4 linked regions of the Oryctolagus cuniculus genome follow. The protein of the gene in region 3 binds, or shares a complex with, the protein of the main gene of each other region. Links are inferred from orthologs where the notes say so. Each region holds a gene or a part of one and is shown on either strand. Other genes may lie near its edges.

Region 1 (5,133 bases), on a different chromosome or scaffold from region 3:
GAACAGAGCTTCCACTTTTTTTTAAGCTACTCCAAACTAAAGCGCAATCTGATTCCCAAGTAATACATACAATGCTGAAGGTTTTATTTGTAATACTTGAAGAGTTAGCAGGTCTGTGTTTCCTTGAACCTTGTTTTCCTTGCACAGGTTTAAATTTAAAAGCAACAATTCGACTCACCCAAGATGGTACAGGCAAACAAAGGACAAGAGTCAATATAAACCCACACTACAGAAGTCTAAGACAAGTAGATTTTAATTCCCAAACAAGTAAAGTCTTGTTCTAAACAAGCATTTAATTAAACAGAAGCAAAGCCTGATTTTGATATAGAATACTAGTTTACTCTTTATTTAAACCTTTCTTACATGTTGAAAATAGCCAGAGGTTCAGAACAACAGTATTTTCACAAAAGGTCTCCAAAATCGAACCACCAATGTGCAAACAGAGCTGGCTGCTAACTTGAGGTCATAGGCACGTTTCATTAAATGCACTTCATACAACAAGGAAATCAAAAAATGCTGAGAAGAAAAATGCTCAGTATTTTGATAGAAATTTTAAAATATCTTCAGGCAGGAAACTCTCAGTAAAAATAAAAAAAGATTTAGATATTTTACTGTTCATACCTGCTTCACAACTAATTCTCCAAATGTCTTCTCACCTCACCTAAACCCCTAACAATATACTACACCGTCCCATATAGCACACTAAAAATAAGTTAATCTCTGCATCTGAAAACAGATCGTTACAAAAGAAAATACTGACAGCTCTTACCTGTATGTAATAACTAAGTACATTATAATCTCAGCAGCACTAAGGATGCAGCTTTGTCTAATATAAATATCTAAATAATATCTACACAAAAGTATTTTTCTCTTAAAATAAGTTTTTGTATATATTTTTCCCAATGTTGACAACTGAAGCAACATTGATCTATATATTGTGCTAAGAAAACATTAGGCACAGATCACATAATATATTTTATATTTTCTTTGTTGTAAAAAATATAGTATGTGCAAGCTCCTATCACATAAAGGACTAGGGAATATAACAGGAAGTTATTGGAGACCTAACACAGAAAGGTTAACATTTTACTTTTTTTTTTTTTTTTAAAGAACATTCCAAGTGGCATTAAGAGTAACAACTTACTGCTTGGTGAACACCCAGACTCTGCATTAAAATCACTGGTGGGTTTTTTTAAAGAAAAACCAAGGTGTACCACAGCAAAATGACACTGCATTAGACACATGAATTAATTTAAAAGGAATCATATAAAAATATTTCCAAAGCCATTTAAAATATATAACACAATCTCTCCAACAGGCTACTACTAGATTGCTTCGTTGAAAGGAATAAATTATTTCACATTATGATTGTTTTTTGCAGTAGCTTCCTTTATTAGCTAAGCCAGTTCCGGGAGTAAATTATAAAAAGGATGCAGATCAAGAAAAATGGAGAGAGGAAAAAAAAGTAGGTTGTTAAGAAGAGGGGGAAAAAAGCAAATGCCACTTTACCTAGAAGAAACTAAAGTACTGTTTGCTTTTGTTTGTAGCAGGAAATTTCTGCAGCAAAGATTACAAAAACATAAACTAAAGGGTCCTGTGGCAAGTAATAAAAAACACTACTGCAGATCCTCCAAGAAGAGACCACTTAGGGATTATAATTAGTGTGCTTAAAAATACACTTTGATGCAAAGGTTATACTTTGCCACATATATAATATGTAGCATTTTTCTATAAGGGGCAATTTAGCTAAGTGACAACTTTTATAAACACAGAGAGTCAAAGAAATGGAGAGCCACAAAATCAGAGACAGACAGACAGGCAGAGAATACAGACAGGGAGACAGAGACATCCAGGGGGCTTGCTCCTGTCCTAGACAAGAACTGAGACACCTTTTTCATCCTCAGCACTTAATTTTCCTTAATACTGTACATTTATACTCACACACTATAATTATCTCTTTAAGTTACCGTCTATACATCTTTCCTTTAGTTTTTTCCATGGGGGGGGGTGAGAAACCTTTAGTTTCATCCTTCATTTCACAGTCAACTATTCAAGTAAGTGTTTCTCTGGTGGCAATTTCCAGATGAATCAAGAATACAATCCAGAATCACTGTCAGGCTGCATGTGATTGTCTGTGTGGCTCTCCTCAAATGGAGCAGGAATTAGCCCGTTTCCTAGGCTTGGGGTCTCGTGCTTCCTGACCGTCCACACACATACAAGACGTGCACATTGTCTGGGACAGTCTGCGGAGGCCAAGCCGGAAAACGCTGTTGGAGAGGCTGTAGATCACACAGTTACAGAAACTGTTACTTATAGCCAGCCAGGTCGTTAAGAACGACAATGTCGGACTGTCCAAGACTCGGGAGCTTTCCAGAAGAAAGTAAATGATATAAGGGAGCCACAGCATGTAAAACACACTGGTTATCCTAAACAAAACCATGGCGTAGCGGCGGTCAGGACTGTGTCCAGTCTCTCTAGAGGCGTCTACCTCATGGCTAGGGAACCGGGCTCTTCGGTCACTGATCTCTTTGGTGTGCTGCCGGCAGATTTTGAAAATGTGGAAGTAAGTGAAGCAGACAACAAAGGCAGCAGGAGCATAAAGTAAACAAACAATGAAGCCAGTGAAATAGGCACTCGTGAGCCAAGAGGTGGCACACCACTCAAAAATGTCACCATGGTAACCAGGTTTCCCCCAGCCGAAAAAGGAAGGCAAGAAGATCAGGCAGGAGTAGAGCCAGATCAAAATAATGCAAATCCTCAGGCGACAAGGAGTGACCAGCTGATTGTAGGACAGAGGCTTGGTTATTGCAAGATAGCGATCCACACTGATGCAAGCCAGACAAGCCATGGAAACACTTTTCAGAACGGAAATGATATATCCAAAAATCTGGCAAGTCAACGACTCGTGGACACCTGTGGAGTAGTGGAGAAGTGAGAGAGTGGGAACCAGGCAGCTAACTCCAACGAAAAGATCAGCGTACGCCATTGTTTGAATGAAATAGCTGGTAGTATAGTGGTGTAGGAGTGGAGCACAGTGAAAGACAAAGATGACTGTGAGATTTCCAGCAATGATCAGAAATGTCAGCAAGACAATCACGGCCGTCTCAAAGATGCAGACATCCACCGCGCTGTAGTGGCCAAATCCAAGCGGGCAGGAGTGATGCTCGGACACGTTCACAATGCCACTGCTCATGTTCACGATCCGCCAGTCAGTCCACTTAGAATCATTCATGGCTTGAATCAGGGGAACCCGCAGTCTTGGCTGCGCCAAGCAAGTGCCCTGCCCAGCATCTGTTCCACTCTGCACACAAGTGGCTCAGAACCTGCTGCAGTAGACAGTGTCAGAGCTTCTGTCACAGCTGAGTGTCCCAAAGAGTGCTCCAGTCTCCTCCTCTGCCTCAGTTCAGCAGTGACACACCTCAGCTTTGGGGGGAAGAGGAGGAGGGGAGTTAGCTAGAAAGGAGGTGAAAACAGGTCACCGATTAGCTCCTTCCAGTGCTCGCAAACAACTTTGTGCAGATACAAGGCACGTCTAGAGAAAAGCATGTCTTCCTACCCTGCACTGTGAAAAATGACATCTGTAAAAAGAAGGCAAGCACGCACAGACACGATGGCCAGGGGAGACAGAGCTTCTGTGGTCCTTCGTCCTCCTGAAAGAGGTACTACTGTCCTAGAGATCAACTAGGAAGAATGAGAAAAGAAAGTCTTAAATTGTCTCGGGCTTCCTGCTTCACTTAGGAAAAACCATTCAAATCTTAGAATTTAAATAATTAAGAGCTCACATTTGGTTGGGAGGAAAAGAAACAGTTCATTGTGGCAAAGAGTATCTTTGGGCTCAGTTCAGGATTTGCTGCTGGTAGGTCAACTTTATAGTCCACGTTTCTCTCATTTTTTAAAAAAATTAAGAAAACACCTTATTAAGGTCAATTTCAAAGATTTATCTTTCTGTGGGCACAAAGAGCAGAATAGGTTTCACAAACAGACTCCAGACTGCCCTGTAACTTTTGTGAGAAAAAAAGTGTGTTTTCAATAGGGAAGAAAATATACAACAATTAACAAATGACAAATTATGAACTTCTAAAGTTTTAATTCTGCATACTTTTTTAAGCATTTAGATACAAACAATTTCAGCCCATTATAGATACCAATGCTCCTACCACCAATGTAATTTATACCTCTTCCCTTTCAAAATAAAAATAAATACTTTTTGCCATCAATTCCAACAGTTACAAGTATAACTGAAAATAACTTGCATTAATTGATATGCCTCTTTCCATTTAGTGAAACATAATAAAACAGATAGCTCAGTTAATTTTCACCTTTGCAAGCATACCTATACCTCACATGTATGTAAACATTTACGAAATTTAGACAGTAGCATAAACTTTCCTATATGCTCTGAGCTTAGATTAGAAATAACGTCATTATTAATGACAGGTATTTCTAGTAGGCTTTATACTCTATTTTGCTATACCTTTTCAATTGTCATTAGATGATTAACACTAAATCATTTCTTCAGCAAGATCTTCTGAAAGTGGAAAATAACCATATTTACTATATTTGCAGTTATGAAGCACCCATATGCTAAGAAATGTCTCTTCTATTTCTGTGTTCTCCTTTGAGCAAATGCTCAATTGATATAGGGGCCATTAGGTAGGAAGCTACAATACAGTCTTGTATTAGAATACCCCCAATGCATCAAGATGAGTTTACATCCTAATGTTTGAAATACGGAAAGACTGGCAGGATAAAATCCATCCAAAACGGCTTCCAAGGTCATTCTGCTACCAGGTGAACGTTTGCAAAGTCTTTTAAAGCTCGGGCATCTCAGACAGCACCTTGTCCATCTGTGCTCGCATACCTTTTGAAGAAACAGCATGCACTAGAAATAAAAGCACTTCCTTCAGGAACAAGGCAGCAGCTTAGCAGAAAGCATTCTTCTCAAAGTTATTTTCTGGTGCAACACCAAGCCATTCGGTGAGGTCCTTCTTCTTTTAAAATAGCCACAGGGTATTCTTCCTGCAAATTCCTAATTTCACTTATCACAAAAGAGTCCTCTTGTTACCGGAATAAGGTGATGCTTCTCACCTACATTCACTCTTACCAGCTGCCAGGCTGGGCTGCTTGACACGG
Region 2 (5,223 bases), on a different chromosome or scaffold from region 3:
CAGGGCACCCTTCCCCGGACAGAAGTTAGGGCCACCAGCTCAGGGACCGCGAGGCCGGGGCAGTGCCCAGCTCTGCGTTGGGAAACCACTCACTTCCAAGACCAGGCAGGGTCTAGCGAGGTCGGTACAACCCCCCGCCCCCCCCCCCACCACCAACTGTGGGACACAGCAGGGCTGGTGCCGGGACCCATTTGTATCTTCAACGTCAAACAGCCTTGCTTTGTTCTCAGCTGGTGCATGATAGCCAACATGCCTGTGGGGTGCCGTGTGAGGGCACCCCACTCCCAACAGGGAGATGAGGGCGATGCTCCGGCCCCCGTGCGCCAGCCCTGGCAGACCCCGTTCCCAGCACCTGGGTGGGCATCATCCCATGAGCACCTTGCAGAATCCCATAAAGAGGAGAGGAGAGGCCCCATTTGACAAACTGAGGCCAGGACCTGTCCAGGGTGCTGATGGGCGGAGGGGACCGCTCCAGCCTGCGCCCTGCTTGTGTCCAGAGGAGCCGTGGGCTGGCAGCCGAGGAGGGACAGAGGAGCAGGGAGGGGCCTCCTCTCCCCCTCCAGCCTCGCGGACAGAACCCTGGGCCTGGCACCCGTGGTCGGGGGAGAACTACAAGCAGAGCTCTGAGGACAGGCAGGGGCCGAGACCCCGACTGCGGTCAGCCCCAGAGGGAGGGGCAGCGAACCCCGCGGCACAGGCTCCCGCACAGCCATGCCCGCTTGGTTTTCAGTGGATGGGAAATCTTTTTCTCTGTTTTTTAAAACAAGATCTTAACTGGAAACCCAGGCTGAGGGCAATAAGGGGAAGGCGCCCTGCGCTCTGAGGGAGAGGGGGTGGGGAGGGCGGGCGCTGAGCAGAGACAGTGGCCGAGACTGGAGGGAGTCCCAGCTCTGGGTCCCTGCTGGGAGGCAGCAGGTGAGGGCTCACGCACTTGGGCCCCTGCACTCACGTGGGAGACCCGGATGGAGTGCCCGGCTCCTGGCTTCGACCTGGCCCAGCCCTGGCTGTTGTGGGCATTTGGGGTGCAAACCAGTGGATGAAGATCTCTCTCTGTGTCTGTCTCTCTGCCTTTTTTTAATTTTTTTTTTAAGATTTATTTATTTACTTGAAAGTCAGAGTTAGAGAGAGAGAGAGAGAGGTCGCCCATCTGCTGGTTCACTCCCCAATTGGCCTCAACGGCCGGAGCTGGGCCGATCCGAAGCCAGGAGCCAGGAGCTTCTTCCGGGTCTCCCACACGAATGCAGGGGCCCAAGCACTTGGGCCATCCTCCACTGCTTTCCCAGGCCATAGCAGAGAGATGGATCGGAAGTGGAGCAGCCAGGACTTGAACCAGCGCCCATATGGATGCCGGCACTGCAGGCAGCAGCTTTACCTGCTACGCCACAGCGCCAACCCCTCTGCCTTTCAAATAAAATGAAAATTAAAAGAACCTGCAGGACACAACGCTAGAAACCAGTGGCTCAGTCTGCTGGACAGAGAGGCACAGGGATGAGCCTCCGGTCACAACAGGGGTCCCTGGGGAGCCCCCAGACACCAGTCTCCTCCCCGCTCCACCTCCACACTGAGCCCTGGGTCCCGCACCTGTCCCAGGAGCCCCTGCCACCCTCCGCCCTGGCCCTGTGCAGCAGTACCGTCTCTGCTTTTCCCAACGGCCACTCAGGTCCTTCAGCAGAATCCTCAGCATACAGTAGGCGTTCAATAAATGACCATGCACAGAAGCCATTGAGGGCAGAGGCCAGAGGCCCGGGATAGGGGCAGCACTGGGCAGCCCGACCCCCTCCCCCGGAGGAAAGAAGCAGCCGAGGCAGGCTGCAGGATGTGCCCCGCTTCATAACTGACTTTGAAAGGGCAGGGCAGGCCCCCTCAGTAAGCCCCGCCTACCCGCTGCAGGGTCCTCAGACACAGCTGCAGCTGGCTCCCCGCCCCCACCCCACCCCCACCCCACAGTGGCCTCCGGGTCCTGGCGATGGAAGAGTGAGGTGGTGTGTGACCCCTGCCTTCAAGCCCAGACCTCCAAACACCTCCGGCCCCTCCCCGCTGAACCCCTCCCCATCCTCCTCCACTTGGTTCCGGGCCCCAGCACTCTATAGCCTCTTGGTCTCTCCCTCCTCGTTCCTGGGATGCGGGGCCTCAGCTGCCCCTCCCGTGGGAGGGCACACAACCTTTACCGGGCGCAGACCGCGGAGGCCCTGGTCGCACGTGCAGTGTCTGGACAGTGGTCCCATGAGCAGGCCCTGGAGAGCCGAGACCAGCACTGGGCCCGGCCATCACGTCCGCCCCACCCCTCTCCGTGTGTCCCCTGGGTTGTGGCGCGGCTGGAGCAGGTACACACCAGGCAGAGGAAGTAACACTTCCCACAGCTAACTTCCTCCAGGGGAGCCAGCGCAGCCCCGCCCCTTCCCCCCGCCCCCCCCCAGTGCACCTGCTGCTTAGGGATGCTGGGCGTGGGGGAAGGGCACCCTGCCAACTCCCTCTTCTTCTCAACCTGAGATCTGCCCGGCACTGAGCCCCCAGCAGCCGACAAGGAATGTCAGCCCTTTACAAAGCCATTATGCCAGGCGATGTCTGACCCTTCCCCCGGTACAGCGGGGGTAACCGATCGGCAAAGCAGCTGCCTAAGTCATACCATGTGACGGGGCCGTGGCCTCTGAGCCCCAGACTCCCCCTCCCTCAGCGGCTTTTCTCCCCACCTCCCGCACTCCCATTCTTTCCCCCCACGGCTTTCTGGGGGCCCCGTGAGAACGTGCTGGCCAACGCAGGCCTTGCCACCACAAGCAGAGCAAGTGACCCAGTGTCCCTCCGTCCCCTGGCCTCCCCCGCCAGCCCCTGGGGCAGGACCTTCTGCCGTTAGGCTCTAAGCTGACTTCCTTACTGGGGCTTTGTTGGGGCGAACCCCCAAATCTGGCAGCCAACAGGAAGCTCTCCCTGTCTCCCAGGTCCTGCGGTCAGCGGTCGGTTCCTGCTGCCTCTTGCAGGTCCCGCCCCCACCCCCTCCCTGAGGTCGGTGCTGGCCCCTTGCAGAGGGCAGGGAAGAGAGATAAGCCCTGGTGTGAAGCGATGGTGAGGAAGGGCAGATACTGTTCAGCCCTCGCCTCTCTGCAGGCCCCCCGCTGCTCCAGCTCAGATAAGTCCCTAGGCACCGGCAGGTACCCCCAGATCAGCAAGGCTGAGGGACTCACGGCGGGGGGAGGAGGTTGAGAGGACAAGAGGGGGAAGCGATGCAGACCCCACACCCCCAGCTCACTCACCGGCCGGCTGGCCTGTGCCTGAAGCCACCAGGTGGTCTCCCTTCCCCCCTCTCTGTGGGCTCTGGCTGCCCCCTCCCCAGCGGCCCCAGGGGACCAGCCAGCGCCGGTCTGTTCATTAGGGATGAAATGTGATCACCGCCCCGCCAGCGCTCCCCACCTGCTGCCCTGGCAGCCGGCGGAAACCAGGGGCAGCGAGGCCACCCTGGCCGCCCTGCGGGCCTCAGTTTCCCCACTTCTACCCCCGGGGAGGGGATGGGTCTCCACCACCCCCTTGCCCACGCTGCCCCAGAGGGACACTGGGGTCCTCAGCCTGTGCCCGCCTGATGTTCTACATTCCAGGCGTTTCCAGGTTCTATAGTCGGTCCAGTTCTGCAGGATAGAACGTTCTGTAGCATTCTAGACCTTCCCTCCCCTCCGTGCTGCTATTGTGGCCACCCGGGCTTTGGAAGTGCATAACCTTCTGTGTTTTCAATACTCCAAAGTCTCACATTCCAGGACTCTCCGGTTCTATTGTTAGAATGCTCTATGATTTTTTTTTTGTTTGAACACTCCATGACTTTCTGGATCTATTATTAAACCTCACTGATTTTTATCTCTGCCCCGCAAACACGCATTTCCCTTTTTCTACAGAATCGGGGCGCGCCCCCCTCGCTCGCTCTCTGTTCCCGAGACCTGCTCTCATCTCCAATTCCTGCAGCCCGGTTTCCAAGGTGGAGCAGAGTCCTGAGACCTGGCGGCGGGGACAGGGGGCGGCTGGGCGCCCCCGCCACCTGCACCCCGGATTCCCACCACCTGGGGAGGGAGGGGACATCAGACACCCCGGCTGCTTCCCCAGCCCTAGCTCCGCCGGGGCCCCAGCTCTCCTGGCTCACACCGGCCGCGTTATTATTTGTCTAGACACAAACCAAATTACAGGCCGTGTCCCAAGGGAACAGTGGGCTTCCTGGGGAGGGTGGGGGGGTGCGGGTGTCAAACCCCGCTCCCCCGCACTCTTCTCTCTCCCCCCTCCTCTGAAGCTCCGCCCATTCCACCCCCACCAACAGTCCCCACCCACCCACCACCCACCCACACACACCCCGCCCCCACCTCGGCAGCAAGGTTCCAGAAATATTTGCTCTGCACCCTCCCTTCTGGATTCTCGCCAGGCACCCACCCCTCGCTCCCTGGCAGCCAAGCCGGATCCCCCAAAGCAAGTCTAGGCAGCGGCAGCAAAGGAGGCCAGCACTCTGGATTTGGGGTCCTGAAGCTCCCCTTCCCCAGGGCAGGGCGGTGTGGGGGGGGAGCCTGGCTCTCTGACTGGCAGTGTGCCTCGGTTTCCCCACCTGTCACCCGCTGGGGGGTGTGTGTGGCTTACGCAGCTCCCCAGCCCAGCTGGAGCTCCAAGCTGAGAACAGCCAAGACTTCCAGGCTGGCGCTTCTGGACGGAAGGAGCACCCAGCTGCCTACAGGATCTGGGGTTTCCAGTCCTGCCCGGTGAGCGCACCAGCCTCCGGATCCTGCCATCCTAAGGTGCTCAGGTGCAAGGGTTCAGGGGGCTCTCCACGGCCCCCCAGCCCCTCCTCACCCTAAACCTCCTCCACGGAGACAGGGCTGGGTGGGAGGCTCCCTCCACGGGCTCAGGGGGCACGGGGAGAATCCAACTTGCATCCCACCATCCATCTCTCTCTCTCTCTCTCTCTCTCTCACACACACACACACACACACACACGCATGCACACACACCCCACGCTTCACAGAAACTGCTCAGCCGGTACACACGTGTGTGCGTGTGTGCGTGTGTGCAAGTGAAGTGTGTGTGGGGGGGTGAGGACAAGGCAGGAAGGAGTTAACGGTGACCGGCCAAATTTTGGAAGGAAGTGGGGGAGGAAGTCCACCCCCCCCCCCCAGCCAGGAATTCCTGAAACCTAACGGTGGGGTGCGAGGGACCTCAGGAGCAGCGGGTGACCCGGGCAGGGGGCGCTGAGACCACCTGCTC
Region 3 (4,248 bases):
AGCAGGCTAGATGTCCTCCATCCCCCACCCCAGCCACTTCCCATCCCCCTCCAGGTGAGTGTGCTTGTGCGCAATGCTGAAATCCAGTGTGCAGCCCCAATGCCCCAGATACCTGTGCTGCGTGTCTGGTTTTTCAACTGTAAAGGCGGGAGGGTTTGGCGAACGAATGAGAAGTGAGGAAACACTTAGCGCACAGGGAGAAAGAGAGAAAGACACAGAGGAACAAGGTTACCGAGGCGCCCCCCCGGGCCGGTGGCCCAGCCGGGTTCCGCCGCGGAGTGCCGGCGCACAGGTGTCATACGAGTGTGCAGACGCGCAAAGTTTCAGCCCGCGCCATGGCGCGCATCACGACAGCCCGTCCCCAAGTACAAGTACACGGTCGGCGGGTAATCCGGGGATGGGGGGGTTGCCGGGGATGGGGAACACTTGAGCGTGTCATGCACAGGCGGACACAGAGAATACGCACACCGACACACACCAACGACAAGCTGGCCGAGAACAAGCCGTGCCAGGCGAGGCGGGGGCGCGCCTTCCCCGATGGCCCTAGCCCACCGCGGCCCCAACAAACCTAAGCCGGCGGAGAGTGGGCGCCCCTTTCCGGCAGTTCCCGGCTCACCTGAAGCCCCCGCCTGTCCAGCTTACGGTCGCTGGCGCTGGCCTGTCCAGCCGGAAACGACCCTCAGTGTCGCTCGGCACCACTTTTCTCCCTGGAGGGCACACACCTCGGCCACCCGAACCCGCCCCAGCTCCCCTCCCGCGCCCGGGGCAAAGTTAGGGTCCCTCCGTGGAACTTCCTGGCCGTGCCCCCTCCTCCCGCGGCCGAGCCCCGCGCCCCGCGCCCCCTCCCCGGTCCCCGGCGGGGCTGCTGCCCCTGGGCAGAGTCCGCCGCCGCGTTACCTAGAAGCAGCAGGCGGTGAGTGCACATGTAGCCCATCTTCTCGGCCTGCAGCTGCTTGTCGATGAGCCTGCTGCGTTTCTTCTCGGCGCGCTTCTGGGCGCGCTTCTCCATGGCCTCCCTGCGCATCTGTCGGCGCTTCTCTGCCAGAGAAACCTTCTTGGCCTTGCTGGGGCTCGCGGGCTTGGGCTGGGGGCTCTCAGATCGACCACCGAAGCAGCCCCCGAAAGCCTGCACGAGGAAGTTGCGGAGCAAGTTGCGCCGGGGCTTGCGGCGGCGGCGTGTGCGGCGCTGGAACCAGTGGAAGCAGCCGGCGGCCCGCTCTTCGGACTCGTCCCCGCTGGAGGAGTCGGCGTCGCCGCTGGTCGACCCCTCGTCGTCGTAGCGGCGGCGGCTTCGGCCGCGCTCAGCTCTGCCCCGCCAGGCAGCCGCGCGAGCAGGCCGCGGAGTAGGCGGGTCAGCAGCCTGGATCTCGGGGCTGGGGGGTCTGAGCAGATGGAGCCTGCGTCTGGCCCCGGAGGCAGGCGCGGCGGGGGCTGCCTGGGGGGCCCCGGCGGCTGCGGCGTGCTCGGCCGGGGCACCAGGGGCTCCACCGGCGGCAGGGGCTGCCCCGGCATCAGGAGCGGCTGCGGCGCCGGGGGCTGCGCGGGTGTCGGCGTCGGCTTCGGCATCGGCCGGGGCTGCCCCGGCGGCCGCAGTGCCAGGAGCGGCCGGGGCTCCCCCGGCTTCGGGCTCCGCCGGGGCGGCGGGAGCGGCTCCGGCGGCGGGAGCGGCCCCAGCTGGGGCGCCCGAGGCTCCGTCCCCCGGAGAGGGGACTTCTCCTTTCTCCGCAGAGGCGCTGACCGAGCCTCCTTCCATCTCGGCTGCTTCACCCTCAACTGGGGGTCTCTCGCCGCGCTCCCTCTTATCTGGGGCTCCGGAGACCTTGATGGGCGGGCCATCACTCGCGATTGGGGGGCTGTCCATGCTGACGGGAGCGTCGTCGACCCCGACGGGGGCGCTGCGCATCTCGAGCGGGGGTCCGGCGATCTCCATCGGGGGGCTGGCGCCCGCGAAGTTAGCAGCAGCTCTGACAGCCTCTGGGACCCAGAGGGGTGGCGCGTCGGTGGCGGGAGCGAGGCAGACCGCACTCGGGACCGCGATTGCCGCGCTGCTGCCACCGTCGCCGTTGGCAACTTGTGGGAGCGCTCGGGGGAGCCCGGGGGGTGGGCTGTCGTCCCCAAAGGCCTCTCCATCAAGCTGAAATGGCATAGCCTCCTCGGGGGGAGGGCTATAGCCTCCTCCAAGGCCAGCGCTGGCAGGCCTGAGCGCCCCGGACTTCCCGGGAGGAGCTCCAGGGACCCCCAGGTCTGTGCCACCGGGAGCGAGGTCGGGGACCCCCGATGCTGGCTGGCTGCAGCCTCCCTGGCCAGCAGGCTCCTCGAACTCAAAGGGCATGGCTTCTTCTGGTGGGGGGCTGTAGCCTCCCAGGCCAGGCCCGGCACTGCCCGAGACTCCGGGATCCACAGAGGCCTCGAGGCCTGCGATGGGCCCTGGGGTGGGCCAGAAGCCTCCCACGCTGGGCTGCTGGACCTCAAAAGGCATGGCTTCCTCGGGAGGTGGGCTGTAGCCTCCATCGCCTCCGAATTCCTGGTCAGCTGCCACGGCGAGGCCCTCCAGGGTGCCCCCGGAGACCTCAGGGGGTTCACAGGCCTCGGCGCCAGCCTGTGCGGGGACGGGCTCGCTGGCAGGCGGCTGGGTCTCCATCTCTTCGGCTGGGCCAGGCCCAGCACCGGGGGCAGCTGGCCCTGGGGCCTCCAAGGCTGGCTGTGGAGGCTGCTCCCCGACTTCAGGGGGGAGATGGCGTTGTCCTGACATATTATTGCCGTCGAGGCAGTAGCGCAGGCCCATAACACGGTGGCGGCCTCTTACAATGATGTGGGGGCTCCGTGAGACGGAGCACCCAACCGAACTAGGGTGAAAAAAATTATTTGAAAGGAAGAAAGAAAAAAGTACCAGCTGGGAAGTTCTGCGGCCTCACTTCCCGAGCGCACTCAGGGCCTAGAACCCCAGACCATGGCCAAGGCAGTGCAGTTCTGGCTGGTGAAGTCTTGGCTCCTTCCTGGCCACTGGTGATTCCCTCAGGCCCCCACCCGGCCTGCTCGGCCTTCGTCCCCTCCTCTCTCTCTCTCTCTCTCTCTCTCTCTCTCTGCTCCAGGCCAACACAGACTGCTTGGATTTGAGGAGCGTGCCGATTCGGTCCGAAAATCGCCAGTCGCGCGCTCTCTCTGCCACCAGAGGACGCAGGTCCCGGTGCCAAGCTGGTTCCCTGCACCGCCGGCCCGGCTTTGGGTAAGGGGCTGGCGAGCGCAGGCCTCGCAGGGACGTTTGGGCTCCTTCCACGCCTCTCCCTGACTGATTTGGAGCCTTTCTCCTCGCTTCTCCCCTTGGCCACACAAAGCTCTCCTGCGTTGCGAGCGAGACACGTGACACAAGACGTGGGCCTCGGGATGCTGGAGAACAGGAGCAGAATCGCTCCCTCCCCGCCCGCGCCGACTCTCCTCGGGGGGCGGGGGACTGCAGAGGGCTTTCTTTTTCTTCCTTCACCCCAGGATACCCCTGCACCCCTGCGCCGAAGCCCCTAGCCCCAGATCTCGAGCCAAGCGTAAGGCTCTAGATGCCCGGGGACAGTGGCGTGCGCGCGCGGGAATGCGACAGGTGGTCGTGAGCCCACCGGAAGGGCAGGGAGGAGGATGAGGAGCGAGGGGGGCTGTCGAGAGCGAGCGCACAGTTTGTTTTGTAAAACGCCTTGGGTACACTTGCCGCGGTCCGCCGTGGCGAGGCACTTTAGCATCGCCCACCCCCGTGGCTCCTGGGGTCTCCGCAGTGGCCGTGGGCGGCGCAGTAAGGGGTCCCTCTGTTTTTGTGGACAATGATGCGACGCAATATGGGGGTCTCCTGACTGCACCATGGAGAACCAAGCCAAGCCCCCCGCCTCCCCGCAGTGTAGCGGCCGCGGCGGCACGGAATGGGGGTCGCGGGACACGCTGGGGAGCCGAGCCCCACGGGGCGCAGGTCTCAGAGCGCCACACATCCTTCCGCTCTGGGGAAGATTTCGGCTGCGGGGTTTATGGCTGGTTTGGGGGTGGTCTCGGAGACCGCACAACCCCGTGCGCGCGGAACCCGCAAACACCGCACCAACAGCAGCCGAGGCGCGCGGCATCTGCCTCCGGCCCCGGCCGCAGGGCGGGTCCGTCATCCCGCAGCCCCCAGCGCCACGCCAGGACCGTCCCCAGGCAGTCGCTTTACTTTTCCGCTGCTAGCCCGCAGAAGCTGCGGCAAGCGCAGCCACCAAGCCCGGCGGCTGCTCGCTC
Region 4 (4,045 bases), on a different chromosome or scaffold from region 3:
CCACCGGCACTTCACGGTCCTGGGGAGTCAGCGGAGGAACCTCGCTCGAGTTTAAGTCCGCGGCGGGCGCGCAGAGTAGAGAACAGACCGCCCGGGAAGTATGCGGTTCCCAGGCCTCGCCGCGCCCCAAGCGCGCACACCGCGGCCAGAGGGCGCCTCCCGCAGTAGCTAAGAGGCCACGCCTGCGTGTGCAGACTCGCCAGCAACCTATAAATTCCCAAGTCCACCTTCGTCGTTGCGTGATTGTCGGTTTCTTTGGTGAGTGCTGACACCCAGGTAAACACGGACAAAATGGTCCACACTCTGTCCTCGTTCTCCCCCACTGGCCCGGCCGCGTACTTACAAGTGCAATCTAAGACACACCTGCTGGGCCCTTGTTTGCAGTCCAAGAACACAGAGCAAGCAGGGACAGTGCACAGCAGTCTATACTGGGCGGCGGAGATCCCCAGGGCACCGCTGACACAGCGGAAAACAGACCTTCCCAGATTTCTGGACCAGAGGATCAGGGCATGCAAGGGACCAGACGCTTAAGGTCAGATAAGAAGGCCGGGGGGAGGAAGAGGAGAGGGAGACACACAGAGTGGATATTTCTAGGGGAAGAGGGCTGGAGAGATGGATCGAAATCCTTATCCTTAAATGCAAGCACTAGAAGCTCGGCGTCAGGTGGAAGCTGTTAGTGGACCCAGCAGCTGTAGGCAGTTTTTTGTTGTTATTGTTGCTGCTTGTTTAGTTTTCTAATTGGACTTTCTACCTTGAATACCTGGGGCTTAAGCTTCCACCTCGCAGATCCGGGGGACAGAATTTGAAGGCAGCAATTGCTGGAATCAAAAGTGCTGCTGAGGCCGCAGACTGAGACACCGTTGCTTCTCACAGACCTTGGGGCTTCTCTGCACACAGCGCTCTCCCTGGGAGCAGGGGCTTGGGAGGGGGCGACGTCTGGAAGCCTTGGGCGCAGCAGAAAAGTTCCAGGAAAAGTAGCAAGTTATCTTAGGCGATGGTTCCAGGGGCTGGGGGAGCAGGCTACATGGAGTGGGTCCTACAACCCCTACTCGCCGGCTACACCTTCAGCATCATCGGCGGCAGAACTTGCACTTGATAATCTTCTTAAACGCGTTTTGAAAGTCCTTGTTGAAGTAGGCATAAATGACAGGGTTGAGCAGAGAGTTGGAGTAGCCCAGCCAGTTGATGATGGCGCCCAACAGCGTGGGCATGTGGCAGCTGCTCTCGCAGAAGGGCAGGACCAGGGCCACTATGAAGAAGGGCAGCCAGCAGAGGATAAACGTGCCCATGATGATGCCCAGTGTCTTCACCGTCTTCCTCTCACGGGCCAGGGCCATTTTGCGCTTGGCTTCGGCATTGCGCTCATTTTTCCGCTCAAAGGAGGCAGGGGCACCGGCGGCGGCACCCGCCTCGCTAGGAAGCGGCAGGTGCTCCTTGGAGTTGCCCACCCGGTGCACCTCGATCACCTCCAGGGCGGCGCCATCGTCGCCCTGTCTCACCGCGCCGTTGGCGCACGCAAGCCCCACACCCTTGTTCTCCACGCCCTGCCTCCAGTCTCTGCTCCCTGGCTCTCCGTTCACGCTCTTTCTGGGTTGTGGGGCCGGCGAAGCTCCAAAACGGGTGTCTGCGCCTTTCTTCTCCACCTTCTTGACAGTTTTGCGGATGCGGAAGCGCGCGGCGCGAAAGATGCGCCCGTAGAGGACCAGCATGAGCAGCAGCGGGATATAGAAAGCGCCGAAAGTGGAGTAGATGGTGTAGCCGTGGTCCTTGCTGATGGTGCACGCGTCAGGGTCGGAGCGGTCTTCCGGGGTGCGCCAGCCCAGCATGGGCGGGATGGAGATGAGGAAGCCAATGAGCCAAGTGAGCGAGATGAGCGCGGCGGCACGCCGGGGCGTCCTCTTGTTCACGTAGTCGATGGGGTCCGTGATGGCCCAGTACCTGTCCAGTGCGATGGCGCACAGGTGCAGGATGGATGAAGTGCAGCACAGCACGTCGAGGGCGATGAACAGGTCGCAGGTGACCTGGCCCAGAGTCCACTTGTTGAGCACCTGGTACAGCGCGGCCATGGGGAGCACCAGCACGGACACCATGAGGTCGGTGACCGCCAGAGAGCCGATGAGATAGTTGGCCACGTTCTGGAGGGAGCGCTCCAGGGCGATGGCAGCCACCACGCACGCATTGCCCAGCACCGCGCAGAAGATGAGCGTGCCCAGCAGCAGGGAGGTGATTACTTGGTAGCTGAAGGTCACGTCGGAGATGCCAGTGGCGTTGCCGCCTGTCCCGAGGGGACCCTGGGACGACGTCGTGTTGTTGCCCCGGCCGGGACTGAGCACATCCATGCCTGCCTGCGCGCCCGGCGGGGGGAGGGGGAGGGGAGACGGAGCCGCGAGAGGATCCCCCTCGCCCCTCCCCCGGGGGTCTTCCGCCCCTTCTCCCGGGGAGCTTCCGAGGAAGGGGAGGCAGGGACTCCGGCGGGAAGTTCTTACTGCTCTGGCGAAGGCATCTCTCAGTAGCAGCTTGCAGGCGCTCGGTGCGCTCCCGCGGTCCAGGGCGCTCAGAGGCTCCAGCGGGGCAACTGGAGTTGGCCCGAGAGCAGCTGCGGAATCTGCGGGCGGCGCAGAGGTGGCTTGGGCGTCAGTCTCTCGCTGTCCATTTTACTTTGTCGCTGCCCAACTGGCTGCCGGAGCCGGAGTCTCCCCACTAGCAAACAGTCTCCAATCCCAGAAGTATCTGGAATAGAGGAGCCCCATCGTCCCAGGCGCTGGCTCTGTGACCCTCCCTCCTGCGTCCCTCTCTGCCTCCCTCTCACTCTCTCCTCCCTTCTCTTCTGGGTCCCTTCAGCCTCCTCCTCCTCCCTTCTCCCCGCTACCTTCCTTTTCGGCCTCCCTCCTCCCTCTCACCTCCTTTTCTTTATCCCTGTGTGTCGCTCCACAGCCGGTCTCCCTCCCTCCCACGCTAGCCCTCCCCTCCGAAAACCTCCCCAACCTGGGCGCCTTTTCCCTCTGGGTCCCCGCCCTCCTCTCCTTCTATCCCGGCGTCCTTTCACTGACTCCCTTTCTGCCAACAGAGACTCAGAATTCGTTTGCACACACCCTATCCGCCAGACCAGCGTTGTAACAAGTAAACTCCGCCCCCCACCCAGCCAAACTCGAGAGGAGGAAAAACTCTCCCCCCCCCCCTTCTAACTATCCATTGCCTCTTATCTCTGTCAAATCCTTAAAATCAGCACCACAGCGTGGCTGTAGGATATAAGGCAAAGGGATACACGACGCCGGAGAGGAAAGGTGGACAGCCCCAGGTCCCTCTGTAAATGATCCTTACTTGATTAAAAGACGGAGTGTGTCCTAGCTGTTTAAAAGTCACCTCCTTCCATCCTCTAATAGTCCAGCCTGACTCCTTACGGACGAATGGTGCCTATGACTCCCTTCTCTTTTTTAACGTTGGGGAATTAAGGGAGAACGGAATTATAAAAGTCATGTTAAAATACAAGGACAGGCAAACAGCTGTGAGGGGAGGAATCACACCTCGGTATGTATTCTACACACAAGCCCACACAATTTTCTGTCACTATTGTCCTTTTAATTTTAGTGAATGCTGCCACGTCTGATAGTTTTGAAGTGGGAAAATTCAGAGCAGGAAACATTTTGCCTATTTGTTGGAAATGACGTCCTGTATTCCATCGGGACTTTTTCACTTTTAACTGAAGCCCGCAAACCTGTACGGCGAACTTGGAATCCCCGGTGGCTAGCCCCTGAGCTTCTCTCAATAGCTGAAACTGGTTCAGCACCTGGGACAGCTCAACGCAATAAGGGCTTATGTCGCCACCTGCCGGCGAGTGCTTTAGAGAGCCTTGTAGAAACAATTGTAGAAATGAAGCAGATATCGTGGAACTACCATAACTTCAAGAAAGAGGAAGATGATTATTAAAAGAAAAAAGAGCACCGGGTTTTGTTTCATTCTATTGTGTTCTTTATTCCTCTTAACCTTCTATAGCAGGCTCTGAAATGTTCTAGCTGTTTTAAAAAGTCTGTCGCACCTGGCATTC

Evidence for each region. The genes of interacting proteins can lie anywhere in the genome.
Region 1: the proteins of GNAS (region 3) and GPR52 are in contact, whole or in part, in a cryo-EM structure (PDB 8HMP), measured with the Homo sapiens proteins. The link is inferred for Oryctolagus cuniculus from reciprocal best matches to the Homo sapiens genes GNAS and GPR52. Residues at the interface, in NP_000507.1 of Homo sapiens: Lys34, Gln35, Arg38, Ala39, His41, Lys216, Val217, Phe219, Tyr318, Pro321, Arg342, Asp343, Leu346, Arg347, Thr350, Ala351, Tyr358, Cys359, Pro361, Phe376, Cys379, Arg380, Asp381, Ile383, Gln384, Arg385, His387, Leu388, Gln390, Tyr391; in NP_005675.3 of Homo sapiens: Tyr74, Arg139, Ala142, Ile143, Thr144, Pro146, Leu147, Asn150, Gln151, Thr154, Pro155, Ile226, Phe227, Ile229, Cys230, His233, Thr234, Glu236, Ile237, Arg240, Arg243, Phe244, Ser246, His247, Tyr263, Ala264, Met265, Phe268, Arg269.
Region 2: the proteins of GNAS (region 3) and GPR4 are in contact, whole or in part, in a cryo-EM structure (PDB 8Z9O), measured with the Homo sapiens proteins. The link is inferred for Oryctolagus cuniculus from reciprocal best matches to the Homo sapiens genes GNAS and GPR4. Residues at the interface, in NP_000507.1 of Homo sapiens: Gln31, Lys34, Gln35, Arg38, His41, Asp215, Lys216, Val217, Tyr358, Tyr360, Phe376, Arg380, Asp381, Ile383, Gln384, Arg385, His387, Leu388, Gln390, Tyr391, Glu392, Leu393, Leu394; in NP_005273.1 of Homo sapiens: Gln45, Arg49, Asn50, Leu52, Asp114, Arg115, Ala118, Val119, Ala120, His121, Pro122, Leu123, Arg124, Arg129, Arg130, Lys132, Tyr201, Ile204, Ala207, Val208, Gly210, Ser211, Val212, Ser213, Thr214, Glu218, Lys221, Ile222, Leu225, Asn290.
Region 4: the proteins of GNAS (region 3) and HTR1A are in contact, whole or in part, in a cryo-EM structure (PDB 9GL2), measured with the Homo sapiens proteins. The link is inferred for Oryctolagus cuniculus from reciprocal best matches to the Homo sapiens genes GNAS and HTR1A. Residues at the interface, in NP_000507.1 of Homo sapiens: Ala39, Asp215, Lys216, Val217, Arg342, Arg347, Thr350, Ala351, Gly355, Tyr358, Phe376, Arg380, Asp381, Ile383, Gln384, Arg385, His387, Leu388, Arg389, Gln390, Tyr391, Glu392, Leu393, Leu394; in NP_000515.2 of Homo sapiens: Asn69, Ala71, Asp133, Arg134, Ala137, Ile138, Pro141, Ile142, Tyr144, Val145, Asn146, Arg148, Ile218, Ala222, Arg225, Ile226, Lys228, Thr229, Lys232, Val233, Asn325, Arg327, Asn328, Lys332, Arg339, Lys342, Thr343, Thr346, Leu347, Asn404.

The regions. Positions count from the first base shown.
Region 1 is NC_091438.1:2,810,198-2,815,330, reverse strand, and holds GPR52 (G-protein coupled receptor 52), read right to left. Parts: upstream 3,371-5,133; 5' UTR 3,233-3,370; coding exon 2,147-3,232; 3' UTR 1,054-2,146; downstream 1-1,053.
Region 2 is NC_091449.1:11,334,770-11,339,992, reverse strand, and holds the start of GPR4 (G-protein coupled receptor 4), read right to left. Parts: upstream 3,371-5,223; 5' UTR 3,365-3,370; coding exon 3,249-3,364; exon of another isoform or gene 1,941-3,248; intron 1-1,940. UniProt on the Homo sapiens protein: Proton-sensing G-protein coupled receptor activated by extracellular pH, which is required to monitor pH changes and generate adaptive reactions. Activated by an optimal pH of 6.8-7.2.
Region 3 is NC_091442.1:3,426,355-3,430,602, forward strand, and holds the start of GNAS (guanine nucleotide-binding protein G(s) subunit alpha isoforms XLas), read right to left. Parts: upstream 2,801-4,248; 5' UTR 2,786-2,800; coding exon 898-2,785; intron 1-897. UniProt on the Homo sapiens protein: Guanine nucleotide-binding proteins (G proteins) function as transducers in numerous signaling pathways controlled by G protein-coupled receptors (GPCRs).
Region 4 is NC_091445.1:84,850,428-84,854,472, forward strand, and holds HTR1A (5-hydroxytryptamine receptor 1A), read right to left. Parts: upstream 2,340-4,045; coding exon 1,071-2,339; downstream 1-1,070. UniProt on the Homo sapiens protein: G-protein coupled receptor for 5-hydroxytryptamine (serotonin). Also functions as a receptor for various drugs and psychoactive substances.